Schizosaccharomyces pombe: one gene and its partner. The gene in region 1 interacts genetically with each later gene. Each region holds a gene or a part of one and is shown in the gene's direction. Other genes may lie near its edges.

Region 1 (3,957 bases):
TTTATTCACAATCCAAAATTTGGACCTTAAAATTCATTAATAGATTGCTTTTAGATTAGAATATGAAATTGGAAGATGGTAGACGACTTAACGGACAAGAATTACTCTTTGGAAACATTTTGGACATTATAATAAAGGGCTCTGAATCCAAATACTTCTTGATTTGCGTGATAAACTTCATGAAGGTTTGAATCATCAACAGACCAGCCTAAGCTGGCAAATTTATTAACAGTTGGCAATAACAAGGGCTCAATTGAATCTTTCAAAACATTATTAAGAACTTCCAAATCTTTGGTTGTTCTTTGAGATGAAGGACTTGTGAGCCATACAGAGCAACGAGTCGATACCAAATCGTGAAGTGTCGGAATCCACGATGAAGAATAAAGTGGATGACTTATAAGAGGCATCGGAAGAAAAAAAGTATCATAGTAGGGGTCAAAAGGCTCAAAGGCTCCAACTCTATGCAAATTGTGGTAGTAATCCTGATGAAAATGAAGGCTGAGTGGGGAAGGCAAATTGGGTTGCTTAGAAGGAACAACAACTTCAGGTCCGATAAAATGCAATTGAAATAAACGACCTGGGAACAAAAAGTTCAATCCTTGTAACCAAATTGATGGTGGTAATGAACATTCTTTGGTAGCACCCAAAACGAAAATTCTAGTGGGTCTGGGATCAGTAGATTGAGCAGACAAAGGACGATGAAGCATATATCGTAGAGCAGTTAATGATTGTAGACCCTGGGGAGTTAACCCATTTTTTAAATTATAAGGAGAATTCTTGTGAAGGATAGCGCCGATTGACATGGGATATGTTAATAAACTAGTAATATGTCTAGCAGTTCTAGACGATTGGAACTTTGGGAAATCGCGGGTATAGAAGAATGAATCCCATGACAGAAGAGAAACTACTTCATCTTCTTCCATGGGTCCAGGAAGTTTGAGTAGTTCCGGCAAAGGGTTTGGTCGTGCTAAGTCATGATAGTCTTCATTAATTTGGCGTAGTTTTGGGATAAGGGATTGGTGAATCTTGTCCTGTTCCCAATGAGTTCTATTACAATGAGTAGGAAATCCAGATTCAGGACACTCATATTCCACTGACTTTCCCGAAATTGGACACCGATAGACTTGTTTGATATGCTCAGAGCGACGGCGAAGAGCCGTTAAGGGAGAACGCGATAAAGGATGGAATAATTCATGAGTTGGGGATTTCTTCTTGAAGAGATTTTTTAAAAACGACATAAGTAAAAAAAATATAAGCGAAACGTCACTCTTGAACCAAAAAACAACCTTCTACCGGTTTCAATGTAACTATAGGTAATGAAATAAATTTTTATGTCGGTGTTGCAGCTAAATTTAACAAGTATTGATTTAGGTGAACGTGTTTAGTAGCAGACGAAGAAACTAAAATTAAAAATGTCAAGGAACATAAAAAATACGTTAACAAGGCAAACTATTGAAATGCTTAGTAAAAAAAATTAACAAATTAGTTCGTAGAAGCAATTGCTTTGTTCATTAGCAACCGACATTCAGTAGCGAATTTTATTCTTTAAAAAAATATTAAGTATTGAGTTGACTCAACAAAGAGGTGATTTTCAATAATGTTGATATTAAAGAACTATCTAGTAAATCAATTGCATAACGGGAAATGCACTTTCTTTATTGGAAGTCTACAATGCAACTATAAGGAATACGAATCATCTCGAAAGTAGCTGTGTTAATCTAAGCTTCTATAATTTTCATTGCTCGTAATGTAAAGTGAACTCAATATTTTAGTAACAGTTCCAGCTGGCCCAACAAGACTGCAAACTGACCATACAGAATCCCAAAGCTGTTGTACTAATGAGCAACTAAAAATATATCTGATAAATTCTCAATGTTACATAGATGATTTATAACTTTACTGCGAAAATGTCTGCCTCTTATGACAAGCAAGTCATTAATTATCAGAGCCTTGCGAACCTATTCGTCTGCCACCTGACCTCGTCAAAGGCAGTAATTAAATTGGCAATATAATTCAGGCAAGATTTTTCAATTTTCTAAAATCCTTCGAATGCCCGCCTCCAAATATGCTGGATGGTCTCGAGACCAGCTAATATCCAGAATTTTAGAATTGGACGGGAAATTGCAAAAAAATACAAATTCACTTCCCAATAAAGAAATTGAGGGGAAAAATGAAGTAATTAAAAATAAAAACAAATTGGATAATGGAAATGAAATAGAACCCCAGCATCTGAGCCAAGAACTAGTTTTGCAACATGCGCTTCAGGACGCAAGTAGTCTTCCAAAACTGAAACCTGTCAGACCGTTTCAACTAGAAAAAACAGTTTTTGTTGCTTTTAAATTTGCCTATTGTGGTTGGAATTACAATGGTCTTGCCTACCAGTTAGAACCGACTCCTTTGCCCACTGTTGAAGGAAAGGTGTTTGAAGCGCTGTTGAGAGCTCATCTCATCACTGATCCTTCATCATGTTCCTTTAGTCGATGTGGACGTACTGATAAGGGAGTTTCAGCCATGGGTCAGGTTATATCATTAAATGTACGACATTCAGAAAGAAGACCTATCATATATTGTGATGTATTGAATCGCCTGTTGCCCGCAGATATACGTATTACTGGCTATGCATTTCCACCAGAAGGCTTTGATGCTCGATTTTCCTGTAAACAGCGTCATTATAAATACTTGTTTACTAAGGATTATCCCGGTGGTTCTCTTGACATTGATCGAATGAATGAAGCCGCAGCACTTTATCTAGGTGAGCATGACTTTCGAAATTTTTGCAAAATAGATGCTTCTAAACAAATTACAAATTATCACCGTCGAATTCTCAGTTCAAAGGTTATTTGCATTGATCCCAGTACCGGTCTTTACGCTTTTGACCTACAAGGAACTGCATTTTTATGGCATCAGGTACGATGTATGATGGCCATTCTATTTTTAATTGGTCAAAAGCTTGAGCCGGCCTCTCTCATCAATGATCTTTTGGATATTAAAAAGGTCCCTACTAAGCCAATTTATGATATGGCAAGTGAGTATCCTTTGATTTTGTACGACTGTGACTTTGATAATATTGAATGGACACTACCTACGGATAGTCCTACGACTGCTCCTCGTATCGCTAAACATACATATGAAACCATATATCATCAGTGGCATAGTCTACGTATTCGAGAGCAGATAGCTTCGTTTATGCTTGACATAGCAGATCATAATGTAAAAAGATATGGCAAATCGGAAGAGTCAAGCAGTACTATGAACGTTGGTGAAGGATTGCTGAAGCGAACAAAAAAGTACATCCCAATTCTTTCTAGACAACGTCAGGAATCAGTGGAGGTCGTCAATGAAAGATATAAACGTAAAAAAGGTTTAAAAGACAGTGACGTGAAGAGTGAAAATATTAAATAGATTGTCTTATGACAGAACAGGTTTTAGGTTAATTGCTAATTTTATTTTGGTCCAAAATATATTATCAATTTTAGTATAACCTTCTTAAATAATTAGTTGTAAGTAAGACTTATGATGTACTAAAATTATTTTGCTTTAAAAAGGTATTCCTTGTGTATGTAAGGGACAAGGGTTTCCGGAACTTTAACAGTGCCATCCTCTTGTTGGTGATTTTCAAGGATAGCTATTATTAACCTAGGGATGGCAGCTGCTGTGCCGTTCAGTGTGTGAACAAAACCCGAGTCTTTGTCATTTCGATATCGTGTGAGTAGACGCCTAGCTTGGTATTCAAGACAATTAGATGCTGAAGTTATCTCCCCGTATGATTGTCGCGCTGGCATCCACGCTTCGATGTCATATTTTTGAGAGGCCGAAGATCCCAATTCCGCAGTTGGCATATTCAAAATTCTATATTCGTTAGCATTAGATCATTAAAGTGGTATTTTTGTTAGATTTGATATGTACCTTGCGGGTATTTTTAAAGTTTCTACAAACTCTTTTTGAAAATTAACAATC
Region 2 (4,959 bases), 2.2 Mb from region 1:
ACCCAAATGATAATTGGGTATCAAGTTTCGTTATATTTTAACATTATCTCTAACGTTTGCGAGAGCTGGTAGCCGCCTTTAGTCGTTCGATTTCAAGTTCAATTTGTTTTATTTGAACATGCTGAGCTTCCAAATCTTTATTTAATGAGTCGCGTTCGGCAATCAAGCGTTGTTCCCATTGTCGAAATCGAGTTTCTTCTACGCGCACTTGTTCTGTAAATCTTTTTCTCAAATTTTCTTCTTCTTCCTTAAATTTCGCATTATCAATAGTCCGCAGTTTAGGTTCTCCATACTGGCGAACTTTCATCTGCTCTTGTCGATATTGCTCATACAACTTTTCTTCAGTAGTTTGAATCAAATCAAGCATACAACTCCGAATTAAAATATTCCTAAGCTGTTTAAAGTCGCAGTGTTCTTCGTTCTCAATTTCAACAATTCCCCATGGGTATTCTCTACCCTTAACGACCCTACCATCAGGAGTACGGATGTCATCTTCGCTTCCAACAATCGCGAATGGCATGCAATTAATGATTCCTTGAATTTGTCTGTGAAAAACGGGATCGCCCTCATCCATATTAGGTTTATAAACATTGACTTGATGGTATTCTAAAACTTGAGAAATTCTAGTTTTATACAGAGCTAAATCCCTTCGAGTATACATATCGGCTTTAGCTATGACAGGAATTAAATTGACACGCTTAGAAATATGTTTCATAGCCTCCAAATCCATAGGCCGAACACCATTTCTTACGGGACGCAAAAAATATAGGCAAGCATGAATACGCATATCAATGATCTTACGACGATCTGGCTGCTGATCTTGTCTCATGTACGATTCATGCTGGTCTTCTATAAATTCAACTACCGACTCCCAACATCCTGAATTATTGATAAAATCCCCAAAACCAGGGGTATCAATTACTGTCAACCTTAAGTGGAAATTTTTTTCTTCTAACTCAGCTTTTGTAATCTCTATTTCGACCGTTTTCTCAGCATGCTTCGCACGAACCTTTTCCGGGCCCATATGTGATTTAATTGTTGTTGAAAAGAGTGTATTACAAAATGTTGTTTTACCAAGACCCGACTCTCCACAAAGCATCAAAGTGAAAGCTACACCATTTCGTGAAACTATTTTGTGACGCTGATTAGGTAAATCCGCAATTCCAACGAAGTTTGTCTCTTCTTCATTCATGACGCGCAGAGATGAATAGTATATTTCCTTTGTTTAACGGTCTGTAAAATATTGACTTAAAAGCTTCCAAACTAAATAAAAAAGTTTCCAAAAAATGCAAGAGAATTGTTATTAGTTTTATTAAAGCATAAATGGTAAAAAACGGAAGGTCTAAGTAAATAGATAATCGAAGCTTCGTTGCAATCACTCGTTAGCGATATAACTATATGATCACTATACCTCATTATATTTTTAACGGGCTTTCGTCTCGTAAATATACTAACTATCATTACTAGTTTGCTCATTAAATTTCATAAAGATTCTGAATGCCAGAAATTATGCTTGGCAAATATATAAAAACCTCTATACTACGTAACAGAAATAGATTGCTGGGAAGTATGCATTTAAGTTATTGATTTAATGTTCATTATATTGTTCAAGAAAATAGTTACTACACAGGTAATATGATGATCAAAATCGTTGTTTTAGTTGATATACAAGTACTAACTTGTTGCAGTGTAAAGTTAATTCGTGGCAGCATAGTAATTAACGGCAGCATTGATAGCATTTTCTAAATTATTTAACGAATTTTACGTTCGTAGCTTTGAGAGTTAATGTGAGATATCGTTATTAATATTTAACTAATGAAACATGGCTACACTAAACAAATGTTAACTAAAATAATAGCATAGTGGGCGTAGGGATAGGTTAACCATAATATCTTGAAAAGACTAAAAAAATTTATCTCAACACATTAGTTTTAAAAACTTCTTTACTTCAGTCTTGTATGATTTAAAATTACAGATTTGAGCGGATCTTCATATACTTCACACTGACTTATTTTATTAACTCTTCAATAATCGTGAATGCACCCGGTAATTTAGACCAACGAAAAATTAAGTCCCAATTTTTCTTTGGCTAATTATATTGATTTGTTAAAACGCAATTAAATAACACTACCTTCTAATTTTTCGTAATACATATATATATATATATATTATATGTTTTTTTGAAATTTATAATGGTATTTGCAGACTATAAACAACGTGTTGAAAATGGCGATTTGGCAGTAGCTTGGATTGGTAGGAACAAGTTGATTCCTTTACATATAGAAGCTGAAAAAACATTTCATAATCAATATGGTGCCTTCCCACATTCCGAAATGATTGGTAAAAGGTACGGCGAGCAAATTGCATCTACAGCGAAGCAAGGATTTATTTACCTTCTTCAACCAACTCCGGAACTATGGACCCTCGCTCTTCCTCACAGAACACAAATTGTTTACACTCCAGATATTGCTTTAATCCACCAAAAGCTTCGTATCACTTACGGAACCCGAGTAATAGAAGCTGGTACTGGTAGTGCTAGCATGTCACACGCAATATCGCGAACAGTCGGCCCTCTTGGAAGATTATTTACTTTCGAATATCACGCAACTCGCTATCAAACAGCGTTACAAGAATTTCGGGAACACGAGATGTTAATTGATGTGGGTGGAAATACTCATCTAACTCATAGAGATGTCTGCAAAGATGGTTTTTTGGATACGGAGGTAAAGGTTGACGCTATATTTTTAGACCTTCCAGCTCCCTGGGAAGCAATACCGCATCTTTCGAATCATGTAAATCATGATAAAAGCACTCGAATTTGTTGTTTTTCTCCTTGTATAGAACAAATTCAACATTCTGCTGAAGCACTACGAGAACTTGGCTGGTGTGATATTGAAATGATTGAAGTTGATTATAAGCAATGGGCTGCTCGTAAGAGTCGAATTGTTCATATTGACGAAGCAATCGATAGGCTAAAAGAGGTTAAAAGAAGGAGGATCGAAGGATTTGAGAGAAGAAAAATGAGGCGTGAACAAAACTTATCTTCTGATGCGAAGGTAGAAGATCAAGATAACGATTCAATGCTTGGTGAAAACAAGTCTTCTGTGTCCACAGAAACGGCGTTAAAGCCCGTTACTAACAAACGCATTAGAGAAGGTGATGGAAATTACGAATGGACAGATGTTGCAAGAGTTGATTCTAACTTAAAATCACACACCAGTTATTTGCTATTTGCGGTGCATTTGCCATCTCAGCTAGATAAACAGAACCAGGAGACAGGCCCTTAGATAACTTTCATATTTATGCAAAACAGAAATTTAGTGAAAATAGGCCGAAGTACTCCAAAGGACACACAGGCACGGTAAATGACATACAGGGTACAAAAAATAATATTAACGCGTCAAACATTCAAAACTTGTTATTATAAAAACGTAACTACCCAAATTGAGATCGAGTATAATGTCATAGAATTATTGACTTATGTGCTTTTTACTCTCGGAGCCGTCAGGAGAAGCTGAGCGTTTACGGCTCAACTTGTCCTGAATTTCAGTTTCCTGAGATAGTCTATCTACCTTTCTTTTCAGTTCCAGTAGCGAAACGATTGAGTTTTGTAGCTCAACGAACTTCTCAAAGTTTTTAGCTGTCGGCATAATCAGCCTTGAAGAAACTCCTAGTTCAGTCATAACTGACGAAACTCTCTGCGATAAAGAAGCCTTTATGGCAGGGATTTTTTGGGAACGAACAAAAGTGCCCGGATGTAGTTTTTCGTGCCAAGTGATGCCAAATTGTGGATCTGTCGGTTGCGGACCGTATCTGATTCTTGGTGTGCTGAGAGCATGTGGACGAGTAGGGGTATTTAAAACACTAGACACTCCAGAAGAAGGGGCTGAAGAAGATACAATAGCTTCCTCCACTTTATTTTTGGTTCTTTGAGAATTAATCATATCTTGAATTAAACTGCTCATTCCAGCACTTGTGTGATATTCATGAATGCCACCATCTCCTTTCTGTTCATCTAATAGACGGAGAACTTCGTCTCTATCACTTAATAATTTAGCCTGTGATGTTTCAATACGTTTTAATTCAATAAATAAAGCTTCTTCTTCTGCAACTTCTTCAGGCGTCCTAGAAGCAAGCCCAATTAGATACTTCTTCCGAATAACTTCTTGCTCTTTATTGTACTCCATCGTATTCAACAAAGAGCTCTGTGCAGCAGTCATTGAATTAATGGGATTCCTGGCTAATAGAATTTTTCGCGACACAGAATAAAATCTGTCTTTTAAATCTTCAAGCGTTCGATGTTTTTTATATTTTTCATTATCATAACGATCTGCTATTACAAAGAACCTCAAGTCATAATCTTTGCATAAACGGAATAGGTAGTCGGTTTCATCTTTATTCCAATCCTCATCTACAACAAATTAGTTAATGAAATATAGTAGAGAATCTCAACCTTTTAAATAATTTTGGTACTCTTCGTCGGTGTAGTCAATTATAAACAGAGGGACGTTAAATTTTTCAAATTTGTATGCTACACAGTTTAGGTTAGTTTAACCAAGCGCTTATCAAATAAAATTTCAAACATACAGGCTTCAGAATCTACTTCTGATTTAAGGACCCAATGATGCAAAGTAAAATCATCCTTACGGCTTGATATGGAAAAGGGCTGGCGTACCCTACAAATTAGTAAATTCCTTACTGAATACACAAATTTATTTATTTGAGCTCTGATTTACTCACCAATTTTTAGCTTTGTGACTAACTTTTGGTTTTTCCTTAAATTTCTTTTGGTATATTGCTAACGGGGCAGAATTCTCGCCTAGCAATGAATAAAGTTCTCGAGAAATTCCTTCTGGCCTTCTCTCTGTTGGAGTTTTAGATTTCTGCTTATTTCCTATTTCAGGAGGAGGTAATTCAAAGACATCCCGAATGTCAGCACTAGTCATTGTATTTTGAACT

What was found.
Region 2: mutations in deg1 (region 1) and trm61 together harm fitness more than expected from each alone (negative genetic interaction), as found in Schizosaccharomyces pombe (2 studies listed by BioGRID).

What each region holds. Positions count from the first base shown.
Region 1 is NC_003424.3:4,160,751-4,164,707, forward strand, and holds deg1 (tRNA-pseudouridine synthase), read left to right. Parts: upstream 1-1,968; 5' UTR 1,969-2,049; coding exon 2,050-3,402; 3' UTR 3,403-3,457; downstream 3,458-3,957. Other genes in the region: splicing suppressor Mss51, read right to left, coding at 102-1,238; dia4 (serine--tRNA (Ser) ligase), read right to left, coding at 3,528-3,849, 3,907-3,957.
Region 2 is NC_003424.3:1,991,738-1,996,696, forward strand, and holds trm61 (tRNA (m1A) methyltransferase complex catalytic subunit Trm61), read left to right. Parts: upstream 1-1,919; 5' UTR 1,920-2,192; coding exon 2,193-3,287; 3' UTR 3,288-3,470; coding exon of another isoform or gene 3,471-4,411; 3' UTR 4,412-4,453; downstream 4,454-4,959. Other genes in the region: mitotic septin Spn4, read right to left, coding at 50-1,192; Swr1 complex/NuA4 histone acetyltransferase complex subunit Swc4, read right to left, coding at 3,471-4,411, 4,454-4,531, 4,588-4,676, 4,741-4,946. UniProt on the Schizosaccharomyces pombe protein: Catalytic subunit of tRNA (adenine-N(1)-)-methyltransferase, which catalyzes the formation of N(1)-methyladenine at position 58 (m1A58) in initiator methionyl-tRNA.